3 linked regions of the Diceros bicornis minor genome follow. The protein of the gene in region 3 binds, or shares a complex with, the protein of the main gene of each other region. Links are inferred from orthologs where the notes say so. Each region holds a gene or a part of one and is shown on either strand. Other genes may lie near its edges.

Evidence for each region.
Region 1: EID3 (region 3) and NSMCE3 share a complex: the UniProt entries of both Homo sapiens proteins name them as parts of the SMC5-SMC6 complex. The link is inferred for Diceros bicornis minor from reciprocal best matches to the Homo sapiens genes EID3 and NSMCE3.
Region 2: EID3 (region 3) and NSMCE2 share a complex: the UniProt entries of both Homo sapiens proteins name them as parts of the SMC5-SMC6 complex. The link is inferred for Diceros bicornis minor from reciprocal best matches to the Homo sapiens genes EID3 and NSMCE2.

Annotation. Positions count from the first base shown.
Region 1 is NC_080744.1:79,173,182-79,180,927, forward strand, and holds NSMCE3 (non-structural maintenance of chromosomes element 3 homolog), read right to left. Parts: upstream 4,755-7,746; 5' UTR 4,661-4,754; coding exon 3,773-4,660; 3' UTR 1,036-3,772; downstream 1-1,035. UniProt on the Homo sapiens protein: Component of the SMC5-SMC6 complex, a complex involved in repair of DNA double-strand breaks by homologous recombination. The complex may promote sister chromatid homologous recombination by recruiting the SMC1-SMC3 cohesin complex to double-strand breaks.
Region 2 is NC_080760.1:40,396,454-40,404,199, reverse strand, and holds the start of NSMCE2 (E3 SUMO-protein ligase NSE2), read right to left. Parts: upstream 4,625-7,746; 5' UTR 4,546-4,624; intron 1-4,545. UniProt on the Homo sapiens protein: E3 SUMO-protein ligase component of the SMC5-SMC6 complex, a complex involved in DNA double-strand break repair by homologous recombination. Is not be required for the stability of the complex.
Region 3 is NC_080764.1:19,517,218-19,524,963, forward strand, and holds the start of EID3 (EP300-interacting inhibitor of differentiation 3), read right to left. Parts: upstream 4,840-7,746; 5' UTR 4,746-4,839; coding exon 3,633-4,745; 3' UTR 1-3,632. UniProt on the Homo sapiens protein: Tissue-specific component of the SMC5-SMC6 complex, a complex involved in repair of DNA double-strand breaks by homologous recombination.

The sequences.
Region 1 (7,746 bases), on a different chromosome or scaffold from region 3:
TCAAGTGTCAAGATCATGAAAGTCAAGGAAGGACTGAGGAACTCCCTGCAGACTGAAGGAGACTAAAGAAACATGATAACCAAATGCACTCATATAGTTCAAGGAGAAAAAAAATTCCTTGCACCGTGCTTGCAGTTTTTCTGTAAGTCTGATATTGTTTCTAAATAAACAAATAGTACAATATAGGAAAATTACAAATTCCCCTTATGACCAAAGATACAAAATTTATAAATTTTTAGCAAATAAAAAAATATGTATTTTTTTAAATGCATCCTCAAAAAGAAGTGTTTGTCCCAGGAATGCCAGAATGGTTAGATATCAGATAAACATATCAGTGTTATTACACTAAACTATACCTAAAACTATAAACTATACCAAATTTACTGAGTAAAAATAAAACTTTAATCACAGTAAATGATTAATAAAGGGCATGTTACAAATTTAAAAAGCCATTCATAATTTTTCTAAACATCTCTAAGCAAGTTATGAACAGCAGGGCAATTAAATAACCCAATTAAAGGTATTTATGGGGAAAAAAATTAACAGCAAACAACACAATGCAAAACATTAAAAATTATTCCCTTTAAAATCAGGAACAAGGAATCAGGAACATTCTTGAGGGCTGCTGTCGCCACTTTTTTCCAATAATGTATTGCAGTTCCAGCCAGTGCAAAAAAGATAAGACTAAAGTAAAAGGTATAAGAATTGAAAAAGCAGAAAAAAAACCTTATATTATGATGCTACAGAATTATAATAGCATGTTATCAGCAAATGGATAGCAAATAAACCAATTCTGTCCTAGCCATAAATTTATTTATAAGACATTGCTATATAACAGAGCTTATTATAAATCAGGGTGGAAAAGATAAACTATGAAAAATGGGTGCTAGGTAATCCATATAGGAAAAATACAAAAATTATATCCATACCCCACATCATACACAAAAACAGATTAAAAACATAAATATGAAAGTCAAAATTTTGAACACTTATACTAGAAAATATTAGAAAATATCTTTAAAATATTAGGATTAGGGAGAATTTTTTAAAGCACTACACAAAAAAACATAGCCCTTAAAACACTGATGATTTTGACATATTAAAATCAAATCTGTAAGACAAAAAAGAAAAAGTGAAAATGTGAGAAGGTATTTGCATTAGATATAGCAGATAATGATTACCATGCAGAACATATAAAGAAATCTTACAAATCGATAAAAACAGAAAAAGTCTAAAAGTCTAACATATAAAAACTGATGGCAAAAAAAAAAAAAGCAAAAGATGCTTAATGTCTCTAGTAAGCAAGAGGTGCAAGTTAATACTACAATAAATTATCACTACATACCCAGAGAATGACTGGAAAGGCCAAATTTTCATAAGATCTACGGAGCTGAATCTCAAAAACAATGGTGAGTGAAAACAGCAAGTTGCAAAAGGATACGGTATACTACTACTTATATAAGTTATAAAAGCTCAGAAACCACTACTCTATATTGTTCAGGTACACAGTAAAAGTTATTAAATCATACAATAGCACGATATTCACAAACTTTCGACATCTCTGGTAAGGGTGAGAAGAAAAGATAAGGGCAAGATCTGGTCTGTAATGTTTTATATTTTAAAATCTAAAACAAAGTAATAATTCATTGATGGTAAATTGTTAACATATTTATGAGAAAAGTGTGGCAGAAGATATGTGCCTCAGATGTAACTGATAATGGGTGCGGGGTACCGATAACTTTCACCATACAGATGCAAAAAAGGCCAGTATTAGAACACACCAGAGGGAAAAGCAGTCAGTGAGGTAAGGGGACCAGTAAGCAGGATGCTTAGCCAGAAGGTAATTTATATGTGGAAATAAAAAGCAAACCAGAAACACATTCAAGGACACACTATACTCCAGTGATGAAATAAATGCAAATTTCAATTCAACAGAATGACGTAAAACCCAGTAACCTATCACATTCCTCCATGGACCACACACCCACCATAGACTCTTCTAGATGACATCTAGTCCAGTGTTGACCAAGTCCACACTTCTTTTTTGAGCTAAAGTATTTACCTCATTTCATGGTTAATTTGCAGTACCTGCCCCCCAAACAATTATACTTACTCACCCACTGAATAATTATTTGTTGAAACTCTGTATATAAACAGCATTTTGCCAGAGGCTGTGGAAGAATACGAGAGAAGACAATAAGCTCTTTTCTTTGGGCTCATTTAATCCATATAACAAACTATCATATAGTTATTATTTTTCCCATTTTACAGATAAAGAAATTGAGATTCAGAGAGCTTAAAACCTACCCCAAATCACCATGCTGACATAGCCATATTTCTGAGCCATAATTCAGTTTGTCAGACAACCCCAAAAACCGTATCCTATTCACTGTACTACAAGGACCTCTCAAAGCCCAGGGGAGATCGTCCTCTAACTTTCCTGCTCTTACTATTTTATGTGGGCTATACTCACCATGTATCATGAGTTATGTTTCCCCATTAACCCATACAATAGAGGCAGACTAGAAGAATATTGTCATAATTTTTGAACCAGTAATTCCAATTGTAGGAATGATTTACAACAACATAATGAAAGAAATCCTTTAACAAAATTAACTACTCCAGATCAAGGAGAATAAAAAACAAATTTAAAAAAATTTTAAGGAACAAAGTAACACCTAAAATCCTCCACAGCAGGCACTGTGCCAAGAACTTTACATATACTTCCATATCTAATAATCACAGTACTACACATAATACAGGCATCATCAGCCCATTTTACAGGTGAGGAAACGTCTGTATGCAAGTTAAGTAACGCGCCAAAATTCATATAGCTAGTTACGTGGGGCCAGGGTCTGAACCCAGGTGGTCTCATTTCCAAGTAGGCATGATTAATCAATAAAAGTTTTCTCAACTTTTTTATAACCCAAAGTAAGAAATATATTTTACATCATGATCCAATATGCACACACACATATAAAAGTAAGGTAACTTCTATAAAACACTATTTAGCTTAATAATACATGGCAAAAATCATTTTTTTCAAGACGCTGGTTTTGAATCCTGAAACTAATTTCTCATGACTCACAATTTAAAAGATGCAGAATGCTTAACTACCTCAAAGATATAGTATTTACTGTAACTATAGTAGAAAAAAACCTAAATGGAAATAAACAGTCAGCCACAGAGCTGAGTAGTAATTATGAATGTAAAAAAATTGTTATTCAGAGAAAATGCCATACATTGCTTAGAACAAGGCATAATGCTTATATATACGTATAAAGTACATAAATATAAAATAGCTATGCTAAGATAAAAAAGAATATAGGCAATTACATCTTTATTTTTAATTTATAAAGATTTTTATTTTTCTTTACAAACTGGGGTAGTTGGTAGTTAAGAGGCCAGATAATAGCCACTTCGCTTTTATTTTCTAGACACCAAAGCAATTTACTGATGTGTTCTTTCTTAAATATCTGTTCCAGATCATGGTACAAAGTTTCCCAATTAATTTTATAAAGCTAGCAAAATTTTTATACCAAAAAATACAGTCAGTCAAACAAATCAAAACAAAATGAATCCTCCCCTAATATTTTTATAAGTGAAAATTTGGAACCAAATAATTTACAATATGAACAAAAGTTTGCAAACACATCGTAAAGCTACACACATTTAAGCGTTAGAGAAATATGCTCCCCCTCCCCAACTCTCAGGCCTCCGCACTGTGCCTCTGACCCTTCCCCCAGGAGTCCCCGTGAATCTATTTCAGATTTCAAGAGGAGGGGGCTGGGCCACCGGTCCCAGGCCTGGCCCTGGCCTCCTCATCTGCCAGAGCCTCACAGTACTGCGCTGGCCAGTCCCTGGGGTCTTGATTATGGACTTTGGCCACAAACTTAAGAACTTTCATCTTGCTGGTCTCCAGGTTGGTTCGCGGGCCCCACTGGAATTCATAGTCCACAGGATCAGTGTGGGGTATCCGCCGGTACTCCAGGTAACGCTGCCGCACAAAGTCTTCAGTAATGAGTTTCTTTGGGTCCCCAAAAATCAAATGCTTCTTTGTGGGGTACACCCCTAGACGACGCAGGAAGTCCCAGACCTCGGTCTCCTTGATGGTGTTGCCCTTCATGAAGATGAGCCCCAGCACAATCATCAGCAGGCCGGTGGTGGGCGTGCCCTGGTCGCCTCTCACCTCGGCATCCTCCTCCACGGGTTCCAGCGTGTTGATGAGGATGTAGGAGTTGCTCTTGGGTTCCAGCTCCACCAGCTTGTACCCGAAGACGTACTCGAGGCGCTGCGCGGCCAGTTTCAGGAGGTCCGCGAAGATGTCCTTGTAGTCCCCGACGACGTGCTTCAGGATGTCCGTCCGCTTGATCGGGATCTTCTTCTGGTCCTTAATCAGCAGGAACTGCACCAGCTCGGCCACCTTCAGCTCCAGCTGCTTCTGCGAGCGGGGCCCCACCGCGGGGGAGGCCTCGGCCCCGCGGGCGCCCTGCGACGAGGTGCTGCGGACTTCCTGCGAGCCGCCCGCCCCGCGGGAGGTGCTCGGGGCCTCCTCGGCGACGCCGCCTCTCGGGGCCCGGCCGTCTCCGCCGCGGCCCCCGTCCCTCACCCTCTCGGCCTGGGCGCTGGGGCGGCCCCGGCTCCTCGGTTTCTGCAGCATGTCACCGGCGGCGGGAGCCTGGCGCCAGCGCCGACTCCGCAGGCGGGGCGCTCGCCCTAACGGACGGTGGCGGCGGGAGAACAGTGCACGGCGGGGATTGTGGGTCGGCGCGCGGCACGTCGGGGCGGCCCTGGGCGGGGCCGGAGGGGGCGCGCGCTGCGTCACGGAGGCTGCGCGCTGCGTCACGGAGGCTACGCGTTGCGTCGGGGAGTGGGGCGGCCGCCGCGCGTTGGCGGAAAGCAGTAGGCGTGTCTGCGCAGTCCTGTGGGTCACATTAGATTAAAGGTGGCGTCCTTACTAAACCCTACAAATAGAGAACAGGAGCCAAAACTCCTAAATGAGTGTGCGGCTGAGTTCAGGACCGCACAGGCTCAGGCAGGTACTATAGAAAGTGAGTATTAAAGAAGTTTAAAATCGGGAATATTTTTAGATGGAGGGAACTCAGGATGAATTGTGGGAGAAAAAAGGTGAAGAGGAAGGTGAGAGCGTGAAAGTGAAGCAGAATCATTTCTTTCTGCACAAAACTGGACATAAAAAGAGTGAAAGACCTGGAGGACTCCTAGTTGGCTTTGCCTTCGCTACTCCCTCCCCTCCCTTAAATTTAAGCTCTTAAGCGTTTACCACCAGTTACTTTCTCTAATGCCTCTAAGTGACCATTAAAAACGAATGTGGTAAAGGGAGAGCTTGCCTTGCAAGCAGGACTTTTCCCATCTTTTCACTCTTTCAGTATTTCTATTCTATGCATTAAACTCCATCAGTTAGACAACTACAACAAAACCGCCACATAAAGAACGTTTCAGTGAGGGGTTTTTGCTTGGTCAAATGATTCTGTCTTTGGAAAGCACATGCTCATGTAAACTGCCTTTGGGCCCACAACTACGATTGTAGCAGAAATGGGTAAGAAGAATGCTACAAACAGAAATGTGCTCTCTCAAGAGATTACCATTTAATTTTGGGCATCACTGATCAAGAATTGCAATAATGTGAATCTCTTAAATTTCTTAATTCTTAATATATCAGCCTTAGGGCGCAATGAGAAAGAAAAGAGAACCCAGGAGTATCATCCCTCATAATCTGTGATGTGTGCACTTTGTATATATATTTTTTATTGTGCAACTCTAATAGCCAACGTGAGTCATTTCATTAACTCAAACCATCTGCAATCTGCTGCCACTATTTTTACAGATCTTAGCAAATGTGTTGCTTTTCTATTTACTGACTTGTAAAGAAGAAACTGAATTTCCCTCTGTCTTTTTAAAGCTACCCAGAAAGTGGGTAAACTCTTCAAAGAACCAAATCAAATTGAGTTCCTCTTTAATGCAAATATATTCAAAGGAAGCAATTCAAAACACATTATTTGAATAATAGCACCAAAACACAATGTTATTAAAATTTCATTAAATGTTAGTAGCATAAAATTTTTGTTTGTAATTCAATATGAAAATGCAATCTGATAATGGCCCTGACTGCAATACTAAATGTAAAATGATATGCCGTGTTGTGATGCAAGTATGCTAAAATCTGGTAAACTATGAGTAATAACTTTCTGTTCCACACAAGATCTAACAATAAATCCCCAAGCATCAATCTTAATGACTGAAGCCTACTAAGAAAAACAAATATATCATGGAGGCATTCATTTTTTTACAATAAGAAAATTCATCTGCTTCAGTTTCCTTGCAAATTAAAATTTGGACTCAAGTTCAAAGAAACCTCCTGTGATCAAGAATTCTGCAAAAAGTCCCTCCAGAAAGATAATGTTGAACCCCGAGTAAAAAAAAAACTCAGCAACCAAGAGATAACAAAAATGGAAAATAAGATGAAAGCCATTGTCAACAGTTGGGCTGGTTTTTCAGTGTTTTTTCTTGCTAAGGTATTCACTTAAATTACCAAGTAGCCCCACAGGTCAAGCTACCCCTGTGACTCACTGTGTGAAAATCAGCAGTGTCCATCAGCTGCATCTTTTACCCAGATAGCAGATTGTCATACTCAAAATGAGTGAGAAAAGATACCAGTTTTACGTATTGAAACACCTCTCTCTGCTGTGTCCAGAAGAATGCAGGTGAGAAAATACAGACATAAAATAACAGTATTAGAATGAAGTTTAGGCATTGCATGGAGAAGTCACCCAGACCCACCTCCACCTTAGATTGACACAGGAAGCCATGGAGTTTGAGGAAAAATTGTTGTGATGATGGTGGTAATAATAACACTAACAATAATAAATATAAACAACAGCTACTGATTATTTCAAAGGTAAGTGGGTCAGACCCTATTCTAAGTGGTCTTCATGTATTACTTCATTTAATCCCACAACAACCCTATGAGGCCTGTGCATTTACTGTTTCTCTTCTCATAAATGAAGAAACTGAGGCACAGAGAAGAAGGTTAACAGTTTTGAGGTCCTACAGCAAGTAAGTGGTAGATCTGATCTGAACTAAGGCAGTCTGCCTCCAGAGACCGCTCCTAACCATCTGCTGATTGCAGAGAGAACATAGATATGGTGTCCTTGAAAAGGTAGATATGGTGTCCTTGAAAAGGTAAAGATCTGGGAGTCAGATGGACCTATATTAGAAACCTGTATGACATCCAGAAAGCTACTGACACTGCTTTCTGTTTCCAAGATTACTCATCCAGGCTTCAGGGGACTAAGTGAGATAGGTTTGCCAAGTCCTAGCACAGGGCTGGGACAGGGTAGTTGATAACCATGTGCTTCTTTCCAGGGGGTTTATGTTAAGGAAAATACTTGAGGACTATACAAAGCTGTATGTAGAAAGATGTTTACTGCAGTAAAACACAAGTACACACAAAAATCAGAAAAAAGTCTGGAAAGAAATATATCAAGATGCTATTAAAGTTATTTTCTTTCAAAAATGAAATCTTTCTTGGCAGATAAAAATATATTCTCAAGGAATTTTAACTTCACAGTGAAACCATGCTATAGCAGTTATACAATTCAAGTTTTCAGTAAATTCAGTGTGATCTGAATATGACTTTCGTGACTTTTTTTCAGCCAGTGAAGTAATAAAGACAAGTGGCTAAAAAAAGAAAAACATTTTCAAACACTTTATGTTAATGACCTTAAT
Region 2 (7,746 bases), on a different chromosome or scaffold from region 3:
TCTTAAAAACCTAAAACATAAATGAGTTAAAAAAGGTAGACTGCTCATATGATGCATTTTTCTAAAAAATGAAAGTAGTGACAATAACGTAGTTAAATAAGGGAGGATTCTGAAAACCTGTAATTTTTAATTTATCTAACATATATACATATTGAATTCTGAAAACTAAAAAATATTTATTCCTGACAATTCCTCTGGGTTCTAATAGATTACAGACTTGGTGAGATCCCCGATTCTGTTTCAGTAAAAGCAGAATTTCTCTATAAACTCTTATCTTCTGATATCTGATCCACTATAACAGTTTCAGTTCTTATCTTCATATTAAACACTCCCTAATCTATACCTTCAACCACCAATTCTTTAACCTTTGGACTACTTATGGAAAGCTGTCTACAGATGTCTTTGCCTAATTCAGAAACCACCTGAAATTCAATCCACTGAAACCAACTAGAAAAGTGGAGAGAATTTATACAGGCTTAGAGGGATGGGAAAGCTGTATGGTAGCAGAAAGAAGGTATTTTCTTAGAATCATATAGACAGAGCACGAATTCAGGCTCTGTCACTTTACTACTGAGTGACCATGGGCTGATTGCATAAACCTCTCTGAACCTCAGGTTTACTGTCTCTAAAATGAGAAGGAATATCACAATGTGGTCCAGCACACAGTACACAATTAATTAGCATGGACTTGCCCTCCTGCCCTTCCTTTCTAACATGGGAAACTGTCTAGTATCTCTGGCATTTCCATCCTCTCCATTGCCACCACTTTTATCTCACACCTGGAGTACTACAGTAGTTTCTTAACTATTGGCCCTTTTCAATTAGATTCATTCATTCATTCATTCAACAAATAGGTATTGAGTGCCTTACCATGTCAATCATTAGACTCTAAAAAAGACACAGGGTATACAAAGGGAAGGGCATAGAAAAGATGCCCATGATGCTGATCTCTATTTTTGAGGTTTTAGTCTATTACAAACATCCACAATACAACTCTTCTTCAATTCAAATCATTCAGTTAACAAATATTCAGTAAGTAATGTTTTGGAGCATAACGTAGAGGGTCTTAAGTGCAGGATAAAGAATCGGTCCAGTTGGGTCCAGGGGGGCAGTCAATGGGACTTTTAGCTTTATCTGTTTTTTAAAAATTTATCTTAAAAATCAAGAACTGAAACAAACATGGCAAAATGTTATAGATATTAAAATCCGGATGATAGAACAGGGTTCTCATTATGTTATTTTCTGGGACCTTCTGTGATGTTAAAATTCCACACCAAAAGAGAGAGAAAAAATATGACTATGAATACAAATGAGAAACCATTGATGATTTTTGAACATCTGCATTTTGGTGAAAGAGTATTTATTTACAGTCTCACATTATTACACCAAACAAGCTGAGACAGTTAACACAATATAAATACAAATATATGCAGTAAGATGGGAAATATATAATATAAATGCATGAAAATCAGGATGGAAAACAAACTAAAGGGGAAAACAGGTAAAGAAGAAAATTTTTACTACATGTGTAATACAAATTTGGCTATGAGCTTCCTGACAATCAAAGCAAAAAGTGAAAGCTACAGAATCCTCTTTCCCCATAAAGAAAAAGTACATCAGGAACTTGGGAAAAATAAGGCTTTCCATGGCAATCAAGGCAGTGTGGACCATCATATATAAGACAATAAAACTCATACTGAAAAATATTCTCAATAATATCCTTACAATAAATGCAACAGTGAGCTTCCTAGGACTGTTTCTTAGGTTATTCCTCAGGGTAAGCTAAAGACAGGACACTTGGGGTAGATACCAGCTCGGTGCCCACCAAACCCATTTCCTCTTCAATCTGGTTATACAGCTAGACCACAGTTTGCAGCCTTCCTTGCAGTTAGCTATGGCCATATGACTGAATTCAAGGCAATGAAATATGAGCCATTTCCAGGCCCAGTCTATATAAACTTTCTCCACACTCTTTCCCATTTGATAGCTTGAACAGGCAAGCACAGTGACCTTAGATGCTCTATACTGAAGATGGAGAATCCCTAGTTCCTATATCACTGCTTGGCGGAAAACTGCCCGCCAATCAGGCTCCACGCATGAAAGAAATAAAAACTTCAATTGTGCAAAGCCGTTTAGGTTTTGGGGCTTACCTGTTACAGCACCAACTGTTACTCAAAAAAACACAATCCTGCAAGAATCAAATCATATGGTTCAAGTATTCAGTTTTCTAGTCAGTCTTGATTCCAGTTTAAGTCTAAATTGTCTAGGGCACTAGACACGTGGTTATCATGACTGAGGAACTGAGTTTTAAATTTTATTTAATTTTAACCAATTTAAATCTGAATAGCCACATGTGCCTAGTGGCTACTGCACTAGTCAGCACGGTTCTAGAGACACAATTATCCAAGTATACCATATATATGAACCATGGGGTAAGCAAGAAGGGGCAAAGCCACAGAATAAACAGGATATGTTTCCTGGAATATCAATTTTACCTAAAGATAACATGAACCATCATTAGCTACATTACAGAGCAGAATATGAAGGCAATACAGAGTAGGGGTTAAACACCCAGCCTCTGAAGCCAGAGTACCCGAGTTCAAAGCCTGATTTTGCCACTTAAGTAGCTGAAAGACTTTAGGCAAATTATCTAACCTCTCAACGCTTCACTTCTCCCTTCTGTAAAAGGAGGATGATCCAGTGGCTACCACAAGGATTACTGTGAGGATTGAATGAGTTAATATAGATAACAACACACTAAGAACAACGCCCAGCACATAAATCTCATCTTGTGTCTCTGATTGTGTCTCTCCCCAAGCTGACTAAGACACAACGTACACAAGGATTAATACAATCTGGGATAAATGGAAAGTGTCTACCACATGGTAGCTATCCTTATTATCTGAATTCATAATTCACATTACTCCAATGAAACTTTATACTTGCAGAGAGCTAGGGAACACACGGTCACTGCCTTCTGTGAGTATATCAACGGAAACGATTCAGATAAGAAGCAAAGAGAATGGATGGGGCACAAAGATGGAGTAGACACACTTTTCCCTATTTCTCCCACAAAGTACAGCTAAGTACATAAGTCACAGGACAGCCCTCACAACAAAGAATTATGTGGTCCGAAATATCAATAGTGCAGTAGTTGAGAAACTCTGGTTTAAATCAGCCTCCTCTTGGAGCCTTCCCAGGTGGCAATCAATGATCTTTTTGTTCCCTGTACCTATGGTCTCCAACAAAGTTTAAAACAAGGTTATGCATTTCCCCAGTTTTTCCCTAGCATGTTATTTTGCCTCCCGTAAACAGGCCTTGCCTTATGCCATCCAGGCTGCAGTAATAAAATACCACAGTCTGGGTGGCTTTTAAACAACAGAAATCTGTTTCTCACAGATCTAAAGGCTATAAGTCCAAGATCAAGGCATGGGTTCACAGCCCATGCCTTCTGCTCTTTGCCTTCACTTGGTAGAAGGATCAAGGGAGCTCTCTGCAGCCTCTTTCATAAAAGCACTAATCCCATTCCCAAGAGCTCAACCCTCATGACCTAAGCACCTCCCAAAGGCCCCGCCTCCTAATACCATCACACTGGCATTAGGATTCAACATCTGAATTGGAGGCGCACACACATTCAGACCATAGCAGGTCTATAAGATTCTCTGCAGGCAGGACCCATTATTGGCTAATACCATTTCTTCTCTACTGTTCCCTCCTCTTCTCTGTCTGTACAGCACAGTGGTAGGCACAGAGCAACCAATTTATAGGCACTATGCCCACCTCCTTGGTGGGCATGGGAGTCCGTACAAGTTCAGCCAGAGCTGTAGCTCCTTTTTCAAGATGCAGGAACACATGTTTCTTGATGAAGCCTTCCCTTATCTATATAAGCAATTGCTTGTTCCCTCCCTTATGCTGCCACTATTCCTCTCTCCCTCTCTCTCTCCTTCTCTCTCACGCACACACTTCTATTAAAAAACTCAATAAAACTCATCACAACTCTTTGCTCACATGTCTGCCACTCCTTCACCCTGGGAGCAACTTAAACTAGAACTCGGACATATTCTACAGCATTTGAAACAGCTCCTGACACAAAATAGACGATCAGTCAAGATCTGGCCAGAGTCACAACAATAACAGCAACCACCATTTCCAGATCTCCCACGGTGTGCCATAAACCGGTGCCCCCGGGCTTCATTCTCATTGTCGCTAATCCTCACAGCCATTTACATACGAGAAAAGGAAACGGAGGCCCAGAGAGTTTATTTAAACGACACGCCCAAGGCCCTGCTTTTAAAGACAGTCCAAACCAGATTTATTTGGATCAAGAATTCGTCATCTTTTCCCCACACGTTTAGGGCTGAAGGATGGGCAGATGGCGTCTCGGAGAGGGAGGTGAACTGTCCCAGCCTCACTGCTCTGGCGTGAAAAGAACCAGGACCATAACCCAGGTCGACAGACCCCAGGTCAAGGCACCCGCGGAGCGCCCGAGAGGGAGGCGACACCTCCCGCCGCCCTCCCCATCGCCAGCCCCCGCCTCTGCCTTACCTGGCTGCCCGACCTAGCTCCGTCTGGCTGCACCCCGACTCCCCACACCCGGACCCCCACTCCTTCCTTAACTCCCTGCCCCGTCGCTGAAACTGCGAGCGCGGGCTCCGACGTCATCAGCCGTTGCCCGCGAGTGGTCACATGACACCCCGCTCTGCTCTCCTCCCCTGTGGTCATGTGATGGCCCCGGGAGCCAGGGGCGGAAGCCGGGTTCTGGCCGGCTTGCGATCCGGGGCTGGAGGTAGAAGACCCCAGCGGAGAGGGAAGGGTCGGGGACTCCGGCGCTGACTCCGCGCACGATCGCCGGCCCCGCGCGTGCGCCCTGGCGCGGCCCGGGTGACAGGTGAGTCCGGGCGGGGCGCGCGTGCCCCCTCCTTTCACGGCCCCCCTCCCCTCCCCCGTCCCGGGGCTGGGCCGCGCTGGTCCCGCGGGCATCTGCGCGTGGAGTGGGGTCTGGATGGGGGAGCCTGGCGTGGAGGACTGAGGGGCTTCCTGGGGCTGGGGCTGCAGCCCAGCCTCTTCATCTCCACTTAGATGGAAATAATTTTCCACGCCGCTGTGGCGCTTTAGGAAGTGATGTTCAGCTGCTTGACCCGCATCTGAGCCTTCCAAGTTTTCGGAAGCAATGCTGTGTGGACGTCGTTATTCCTCTCTTTACTCGCGAGAAATCGGAGTGGTTAGTGAGCGCTTTTACAGTGTGAGGGACCTGGGTTTGAATTCTAGTTCTGCCATGGGCTGTGAGTTTAGGCAAGTCATTGCTCCTCTCTGCACCTTAATTCCCCCACCTGTGACATGCTGGTGCCAAAGTCCTTTGCATTTCGAAAAAACGTTCCGAGGGTCCAGATTTCACTATGGTCTCACAGTAAAAAGAAAAAAAACACACCTCACAGAGGCCATAATGGAATAGGGTCTCCTGATTCCAAGTGCAGGGAGCTCCCTCCAATGTAGGTAACGGGGGTGAGGGGGTGGGAGAGAGCGGTTTTACTGCCTCTGCCCCCAACAAGGACACTTTCCGGTTTTTCTTCTGTTTTTCCTCATGAATCAGCTGATAGTGATCAGACTCATTTCAGAACTTTTCTGGAAAAGATATGTTGGTCACTTTTATCTTGATCAACAATCATCATATTTTGTTCCTGATAATGGATTTGTGGAGGCCAGTGCTTCCTTCTTTATGGAACTGAGGTTTTATGAAAGGATAAAAATAGACCTATCTTCTTTTGACCTCTGAGTAGGGTAAACAGTGCTTTGTCCTAGGACAACTTATTTCCTTCAGAATTTGGTTCTGTACTCATTGGGTAATTGGTGTGATGATCCCGTGCTGCATTCTTTTTTTTCTTTTTTTTCTTTTTTGTGAGGAAGATCAGCCCTGAGCTAACATCCATGCTAATCCTCCACTTTTTGCTGAGGAAGACTGGCTCTGAGCTAACATTTATTGCCAATCCTCCTCCTTTTTATCCCCAAAGCCCCAGTAGATAGTTGTATGTCATAGTTGCACATCCTTCTAGTTGCTGTATGTGGGATGCGGCCTCAGCATGGCCAGGGAAGCCGTGCGTCCGTGCGCGCCTGGGATCCCAACCCCCGGCCACCAGTAGCGGAGCACGCGCACTTAACCACTAAGCCACTGCCGGGTGCTTCATTCTTGAAAGCATATTGTCCTTTGTCCAGGATTACTTTCCAAACTGAAAACTACAATTCCTTACCAAATTCTTGAAAATAAAGTTATGACCACCTTTCTGGGTACCTTGTAAAAGAAAATTAGGAAATTGAGTTTGGTCTCTGGCTTCATTTTATGCCAAATAGTGATACAGTCTATACTGAGAAAATTGGTCTTTATGAATTTTCTTCGTCCCTAGCACCAAGAGAACCTCTAAGAGGAAGATTTAATATAGCTTCTTCTACAGTGTTTATTTGCACCTCATTTTAGAGTGATTTTTTTAAAGCTCAGCTAAGTCTTAACACCTTCTATGAAGCCACCTACCTCTGAGAGGGCTGCAACATGATTAGGCATCTCTAATGATGGTTCTTAGATTTTGTTCTTTAGGGCCAGTTTTTCAGCCAACAGTGGGGCTGTTTACCAAATACTCTAGTCAGATAATATTTTGGAAGTTGCCTACAATGTAACTCTGGAGTAAGGATTTAAGGATTAAACTAAGAGATGGATACACCAAAGTCTTGACTAATGTCATTATCTCAGGTCTAAGCTTCCCTGACCGTGTGTATGCAGATGCTGAGTACATCTGTCCATCTGTTTGTTGGGAAAGAAAGCAGGTAATGTTGCTTTGCTTTGAGCTGTTTTCTCCATGGCCTCATTGTCTGTCCTATACTGGTGTCCAAAATCTGGTAGCAGTTAGACCTGTTAATCATACCTTACCCTCCTCTCAATTGAGTCTAGGGTTTCATCCCGCTGAGACCTGGGTTGGTTTAGTATTCTTCAGAGGACCTCAGTAGGTGACTCTTTTGCCCATTGTTTATTATTTTTCCCCTTTTCCTCTCTCATTTTCCAAGCCAGACCATATTAGTGCAAAAAAAATGGTATGAAATTATCTGAAATTTAGCCTGTTAGAGATCAATGTGGCTTAACAAGCAAGCATCACAGAGAAAACTAAAAAGAATTGTTAATATTTTATGCCTTAATGTGTCTTATAGGATACCCTCATGAGAGAGAGTTCTAGACAACTGTAGTGGCTTCTCAGTCACAATCAGACCCAACCCCATCCACCTTCCCTGATCTCTGCTTCTATCCCTTGCTCACTCTACAGCAGCCATATCAGCCTCTTTGCTATTCCTTAAGTGCATCTGGCACATGTCGGCCTTTGCACTTACTTGTAACCTCTGCCTGGAATGCCTTTCTCCAAGATCATTATCTATTGTAAAATAACAAACTACCCCAAAACCTAGTGGCTTAATAAACATCTATTATCTTATAGTTTCTGTGGTTAGAAATCAGGGGTATAGCTTAGCTAGGTGCCTTTGGCTCAGGGTCTCTTGAGAGGTTGCAGTCAAGCTGTGAACAGGAGCTGTTCTCTTATCTGAAATCTCAACTGAGGTTTTGGGGATCCATTTTCAAGCTTACTCCAGTGGTTGTTGGCAAGCTTCTCCATCCCTTATCACATGGGCTCCTCCATGGCTCTCTCACAATGTGACAACTTGCTTCCCCCACGACAAACAAGCTAGAGAGGGTGGCCAAGCCAGAAGTCAGTC
Region 3 (7,746 bases):
TGTTGTTGGCAGGTGCTAGGTGGAAAGTACCAAACAATAATACTCAAGTGAGCTCAAATCAAATAATTAAAAGTTCAAGGAAGTAGAGGTTCTTGCTACACTATCCTCCTCCAAGTAGAACCAGGGAAGTTGATTCTCCATGACCAATTAATTATCTAGATCTTCAGCTATTATGCACCTAAAATATCTAGAGCCAAGGTAATACTTAACATTTACTCTTATCAACTACTCTGGCAAATTACTTATGACAAACAGATTCCATTTCAAATGCCTCCCCCCCGGGGGCCTTCCCTTATCACTTTGAGGTAGCATCTCAACCATTATCCAAGCAGTTTTTCTACAGAGCAATCATCATTAATAGGAATATTGTTGACTCCCCCTCTGATAGGCTGAACAATGGTCCTCCAACATCGAAGTCCGAATCCCTAGAACTTGTGAATACACTACCCATAAAAGGGACTTTGGAGATGTGATTTAAGGACCTGGGGATGGGGAGATCTTCCGGGATTATCTCAGTGGGCCCAACTTAATCACAAGTATCCTTATAAGAGGGAGGCTTCATTACAGTAGAAAACGTGAAAACAGAAGAGGTTGCACTGTCAGCTTTGATAATGGAGGAAGAGACCGTGAATCAATGAATGCAGGCGGCCTCCAAAAACTGAAAAAGGCAAGAAAACAGGTTCTCCCCTCAGAGCCTCAACAGGGACCAGCCCTGCTGACACCTTGACTGTAGCCCAGAAAAACCGATTTGACTTCCAACCTCCAGAACAGTAAGATAATAGATTTGTGTTGTTTTAAGCCACTAAACAGTAATTGATAACAGCAGCAATAGGAAACTAATACACCCACTAAAATAAGAATTCCACGAGAGATGGGCAATTTTCTGTCCACCACTTTTCCCATCAGTGCCTAGAGCAGTTCCTGGCACAGTGGCACTGAGTAAATTAACAAAGTGCCAATTCCAAGTGCTCGGTATGGGATTCCCCAGAACAAAGGCAAGACTATGAGGAAGTCACATCCAGACTTAAAGGAAAGTAACTGAACTATGACACAGATGTCACCATGGAAGGAGGTGGCAGCATGGGCTTTCCGACCCTGACCCAGAAAGTGAGGCACTAACATGAGTGCTCACGATGAGCCAGACACTGTGCTAGATGTTTTACATCTACTATCCCACTTAATCCTCACAATAGTCTTCCAAGCAGATGTCATTCCCGTTTCAGAAATGATGATATAGCAGGCCTTAGAGATTAAGAAACTTCAAGAATTGAACCCACTGAAACACAAATCTCTTGCTTTTCTCACTACACCATACCCAGTAATTCACATTTCAAAGTACTTGTCACATACATTTCCTAATTTTATCCTTACTGTAAACTTAAGGGATAGGTATTATTCCCACTTAGCAAATCAAAAACCCAAGGTTTACAGGTTCAGTAATTTTCCCCAAGTCTCTAACTAGAATGTTAGAGAGTAAAGATCTGATCCCAGATCCTTTGATCAGAAAGTGGTTCTGTTATACAATAAAGTTCTAATTTAAAGAACTTTCCATAATATTCTCCTAAAATTCAGTTGATTTTATTGAACCTGTAAAATTTAAGCCACTCTAACTATATTAATAGGAAACCAGTAGATTTGCAGTTTGCTTCATATTTAATCTCTATAATTGAATTATCTATTGGTCAATTTTCCTTTTTTCTTCAAGGTTAGCAGTCGCTTTAATTTCAAGGTGATGAGACAACCCAGGTGTCATGACAACCAGTAAAAATAGAAACAAGAGATACTTGATTTATATTTTAACAGCTATAACTTTAGAGAAGACCTAAAAAACTACTGTCTCCACAAACCTCCAGATTATCTATTAATGCTTTTAATCATCACTAAGTTTCAAATATCCTAGTAAAGACACTAGGCATTTAACAGAGCAAGCTGGGGGTGAGTAAGGAACTGAGGCAACACCTTTTTGCTATCATTAAGAGTACTATTTCCTCAAACAGCAAACCTCTGGAAAACCCAAGGAACTCAGCTGGTAGAGACATGCTAAGTGAGGATCAGAGAAACCAAACGATGCTTCCATGACTGCTAAATCAAAGGGTGGTGGTAGACACCGCGAAGGTTAGCACTCCTTCACACGATAAAGGGGAAGGAACGACTAGGAAATAACTGGCCAAGTTTCATGAGAAATTTCTCTCTTTGCTAAAAACCTCCACTATTACTGGTGAAGAACCTTCCCCACACATATATAAGATCTCTCCTCTCAATCTTGATGTCATTCGTTCTGTCTTTGGATTTCCCTTCCCTTTACATCCCACTTGACTTAGCAGGAAAGTTTATCATTACTGCTATGCAAAACAGATACTTATCCACTTACCAGTTTAATGGTAAAAATCCACTCCTACCAACAATTAAGTTCCTAGAGGGATCAAGAAAAGAAGCTTCTAGGCATGCTCACTGCACCTTCGGAAACTGTTTTCTTAAAGATCCAAATTTTTGGCAGTAACCTCCAAATAAGGCTGTAATTTATACTCTTAAAACAACTGCAAGCAACAAAAAGAAAAAAAAGCCTTCATGGCTTTATATGAATTGAAGAACATTTGGATAAATTAGTCATATATTTCAGTTTAAACAGGGACGGTTTCCAGGCATTTAAAGCCCTATTAAGAAATGGAAAATCGAATGGAGAACAAATAGTCAAGGCTGTCACACAATGAAACATCACTGATTCTGAACAACACTCTGTGTACTAGCAGAAGCTACCAAGGGAAACAAGAAGCCAGCAAAGAAACTACCCAAGTAGATAAAGACTATAACTGGATGTCAAAAGATTTTGTTTGAAATAATCTGACAAAAATATTTTCTACCTCTGAGAATACTAAAATACGAGTTAATTCAATTTTTGCCCAGTTTAACATTGAAATGGAATAGTTTTCTTAAAAATCTTATGGTTCTCTGGTGCCATAACTTTTCCCAATTCCATACTCCCCTGCCTAGAACACCTCTCCTGTCTTTAACCAATTCCTACTCAGCTTTCAGCACTTAATTAACACCTCACCTACTACAGTAGAGACACACTACCTTTGTTGAGTTCCATCACGAGAAATTATTTAGACTATAGATATCCACTCATTAATCTTACTGACTCCTCTTTGTAAAGAAGTATATGGCATCTAAATTTTTTTTACACTCAACATTGCAGATTCACTGCCCTATGGTTAGTCTTTCTTGACCATTTTTTTCACTCACTCTTCCCCCAACCTGGTTAGGAGCCCCATATGGGATTCCCTTGGTTCCCTATAAAAGAGGAAGCAATGTAATATCACAGAACATCCTAAGTGATTTTTTGGCAAATTACCAAATACTTTGTAATTTATGAAATTCAGAATGGATTTTTATTAAGTCTTAAAAGGCATTCAAAAAATTTTTCTCATGAACATGCCAGTGCATTTTTTTAATAACAGAAGACCAAACTACCAAGAAAAATACACTGCACAGTAAAATAATTTCTGACGTTCTTGAAAATACTTTTTCACTTTCCAAGAGATACAATATGTGCTTCTGTTCAGATTTTACTCTTCATTTTGAAATACATTAGAAAAGCCAGAAAACGCATCCTATACTAAGAACAAAAATCTTTAGTATGAGTTTGTGATCATAGCCTCTGAAATTTCAAAAGTTGCCACAATATTTTTCCAGTCCTGTAAACTCAAAGATATAACTCCTTGTTTCCTGCCATGGGAACTGGGATCATTTCCCTCACCCATTTGGTTAATATTAATTGGCTCTAATATTGGCAGCCTGTCTTGGTCAAGCCTTATTCTTGCAAAACCATCCCTTATAATGAAAGAAACATAAAATATATTCTCCACAGTACGAGAAAAAGAGTTTGGATCAACCACAAATTCAAAATAGGACACAGGAGTATCAGGATACTTTCGAAAGTACATTTGCAACAATCCCAAGATTCTTTCCACTTCTTTTTCTGTCGCTTCTTGATTACCATTCAGGTCCAACTTCCTCAGCTTTGTAGGCATATCCCCGTTTTCTTCCATTTTGTGAACTTTTTTCTGGTGGTCAAGCCGGGGCTTTGGTGCAGAAGGCTCTGACTTGAACGAACCAAAAATAAAGTGGAATGTTTCAGCTCGCACTATCCAGGATGTTGCTTCCTTTTGTACTGTCTCCCAGAAGGAAAGAGCTATATTATCATCACAGCCACCCAACTCATCATGTTCATCCTCTTCCATCCAGTTTAGACCCACAAATATAAACAGAAAGTCACAAAACGCTACTTGATTAAAAAAGCTCGTATTAGAGTTTAGCTGCTTTGCTTTTTCTTTACCCAAATCAGAAGCCAAAACAAGAAACTGGGCATCGAGGGCTGCTTCCCTTGTTCGGCTCACTCCATCAAACAGGACATTGGCTTCCTCAAGAGCCTCGGTTAATGAGTTGCTCGCTCTGTTCACTATGTCATCACGATTCTGCTGCACGTTATAGATGAGCTGCCGGTACTGCTTGCGGATATTCCGGCATTTCTCCTCGTCAGCCTCGAGCCCTAGGAGGTTTGGTTTTATGGCGGCATCCCCACAGCCGAGGTCGTCAGAGCAGCAATCAGGCCCCAGCGCTTCCACCTTCATCGGTTCTCCGTCCTCCTCCGCCTGCTTCACAGAGTACGCGCTACCAGTGATGCTCACCACCGGCTCCTCTTTTTTCTCCACGCCCTCCTTCAGAGAGTCTTTCTCATCAAACATGTCGACAACTGCTGATGCTCAGCTAACGGCTTTCGCTACGTTTCCCACAACAGCAGAAAGTGAGGAGGTCAGTTAGAGCGGAGGGCGTCCGCCCATGCGCACTGGCGGCGCGGCCCGGAGGCCCGCCCCTGCTCCCGCCCCCGCTCCCGCCCCCAGCTCGCTCCACCTCCCGCCGGCTGCCGCCCGCTGCGCCGCAGACCCCAGGCCCCGCGTTCGCGAACGAGCCCGCGGCCGCGCACAGAACGCGCGCAATAATGGGTCCCAACGCCGAGTATCCGTTCAAGCAACAGCTATTATTTTAGCGTTTACGAACAGTGTCATGTAGCTTTCAAAGAAACAGATGGACAACGTTATGACAAAATTGCGGGGAGACTAAAGGTCCTGCGCTCTAAAACATTCGCTGTCATCTTGCCACTAGGTCGACCTCCATTTTTCGTTCTTAATATGATTAAAAGGTGGGGTGTCTTTTTGTTTTTGTTTTTTTGAGAACTAAATCTGGCTAGATTACAAACTGCCCGTAAAGCCAAGGACTGTGAAACGCAGAACCTCCATTACAAATCGGCCGAACTCGCAGGGTTCATTTGCAAGGTGGTTGTTTGGAACTCATTCTTCAATATACAAATGCACACTTACCTTCGGGGGCCCTCAAAAGCCAAATCCCCTCCAAACTACCCCATAGTGGGAGGGAGGGCCCGTCTTGGGGATGCGTCTCTTCCAGCGCATGTGCGAAGGGTGGGGCGTATTATTCAAGTGATCTTTGGTTCTCCACCACTCAAGGATGGAATAAACTGGGTACGGTTTCTGCAAAAGAGCTGTCTATTTGGAAGCTTCCCAACGGCTAAAGGCCAAAGACTAAATGGATAGTAAATCCGAACCCTAAAAGGTGAGCAAAGCTATGAAGATTTTAAACACAAATCTGTTCTAAGGAATATGAAAGCGAATAAGGATGTATAAATCAGGTAACTAATCTAGGTTGGAAAATGCACCCACTACCTAGTTCATTGGAAATTCACCCACTACCTAGTTCACTGAAAATTCTTGTACAGTTGGAGAAAGGGGTCAGCTGATCAGTCACACAAGTAGCAAAGTATATGTAACAATGGAAAGGAATACATTTTGTTTTTAACGAGAGGCACACTCTGAACCCACAAGATCAAAAGCTTTTAACCACTGCAACAGGTGCCCCTGTGACAGAGACAGAGAGACAAGAGACGGCAAAACTGCACCTGTCAACTCGAGTTTCCCCTTCCCTTCCTTGCTATGCATGTAGACTGTTCATTATTCTCTGACATTAGCAGAAAGCTTTTCACAAATGCATGAACAGCAAAACAGTATTAAGTCACTCCAAAATATTTACATTACTAGTCGTCCACCATTTTTTTTTAAGTAGGGGTAATTCAGGAAGAAACATACATTTTTCAAAAACACCATGCACTATGGTTACTTGTACATAGATATTATCCTGCCTATTAGACTGTTAGCTTCTCTACAGCAAGAACTTGGTTTTAAATATTCCAAGCAAAGCTGTTTTCACATGGAGGCATTTGAGTATGCATATTTGAATGTATAAATGAATGTAGATGAAAAACTTTGTCCCAGCACCTATTGCAAGTTATTTGGCAGCAAAAGATTAATTTCATAGATTAGTGGAAGAAATAGATCCTACAATCGAAAATAAAAGTTAACTGCTTTTCAGAAAGTCAGCCTTATCCCTTCTCTGAAATAAAGAAAAAGCAGGAGGAAAACAAAGTTGGGACCCAGGATCATCAAAGGGCCATATTTTCCCTCCAAGTCTGGCCAACTACAAACTAATATTTAAACCTGTTTTAAATCTTGGATGAAAATACACAGTTAATTCTAAGTCCCAAATCCAAAAAAGTTTGCTTTTATAATTAACCATATTCTTGGGAGCTTCTAATATCCACTTCATATTCAATAAAAGCAATTTATAAAAGAACTTTAAAAGACAAGCCAACCTTCCCACCCTAAGGTACTTATTTTCTCCTGGCTCAGAGAAAGGAAAACAGGCTGATACCAATTTGCTCCATACAGACCCTTTCATCTAAGGATTTCAAAATGCTTTAGAAAAATAAATTAATTCTCCCAACCTACTTATAAAGTATTACTAATGCCATTTACAGGGATTTCTCAGGTGATAATGGCCTACACAACTTGCTCAGAGCAACAGAACACATCAAGACAAGCATCATATTTCTAAATTGCAATTTCCAGCGCTGAATTCATTCTATGCTAGATCCCTGTCCCTAAGAACCTTAGTAACATGTAACTTAGATCGTCCTCAGAAAGTCATGCATGCACTGTATTTTGCCTTTTAAAATCTGCCTTTAGAGCACAAGGTTTAGATGTCGCTGCAAAGCAAAAATCTCAAGTCTAATGATTTTCCCCAATCATTTAAAGAATGAGATTTCTACACTTATGAATCCTTTAATCACTAAACAGAGATGTTATAACCTAAGGTCCAATTACTAGTAATAATTATATAAATGCAGCTTAAAAAGAAGGAATATTTATATAATGTTAGAAACCAATGTGACCTCAATAAAAAAAGAAGGAACAGCAATACAGAATTTCGGTTATACTGGTAAACTTCTCTATGACTTGTTACAGAAAGCAAAGTGTACTACTTCTTCAAAGAAATCACTAAGATGTACCTTCATGCAGTAAGACTAGTTCAGGTAACCAAGATATACAGCTTGGCCTTCAAGATAATTTAGCTCCTCTCCTCCCCTTTTTTCCTCTTTCAGGAGTTGTTGCCAAGGGCTCAGTATGGTCCTCCATTTCTTCTCTTCTGTTCTTCAGTTTTTTCTCCTATGTTATTTTTCAGTCCCTTTGCTAAGAGTTCAGATTCATTCATTCCAAGCATTCTTAAGCTCTTTCCCATAACCCCTAGTGCTCACCACAAACATGGTGGGATGGGTGTCGTAAGTTACAAGTCTCTGTATGGTCAAATAAAAAAAGAATTCACATAGGGTCCACTATC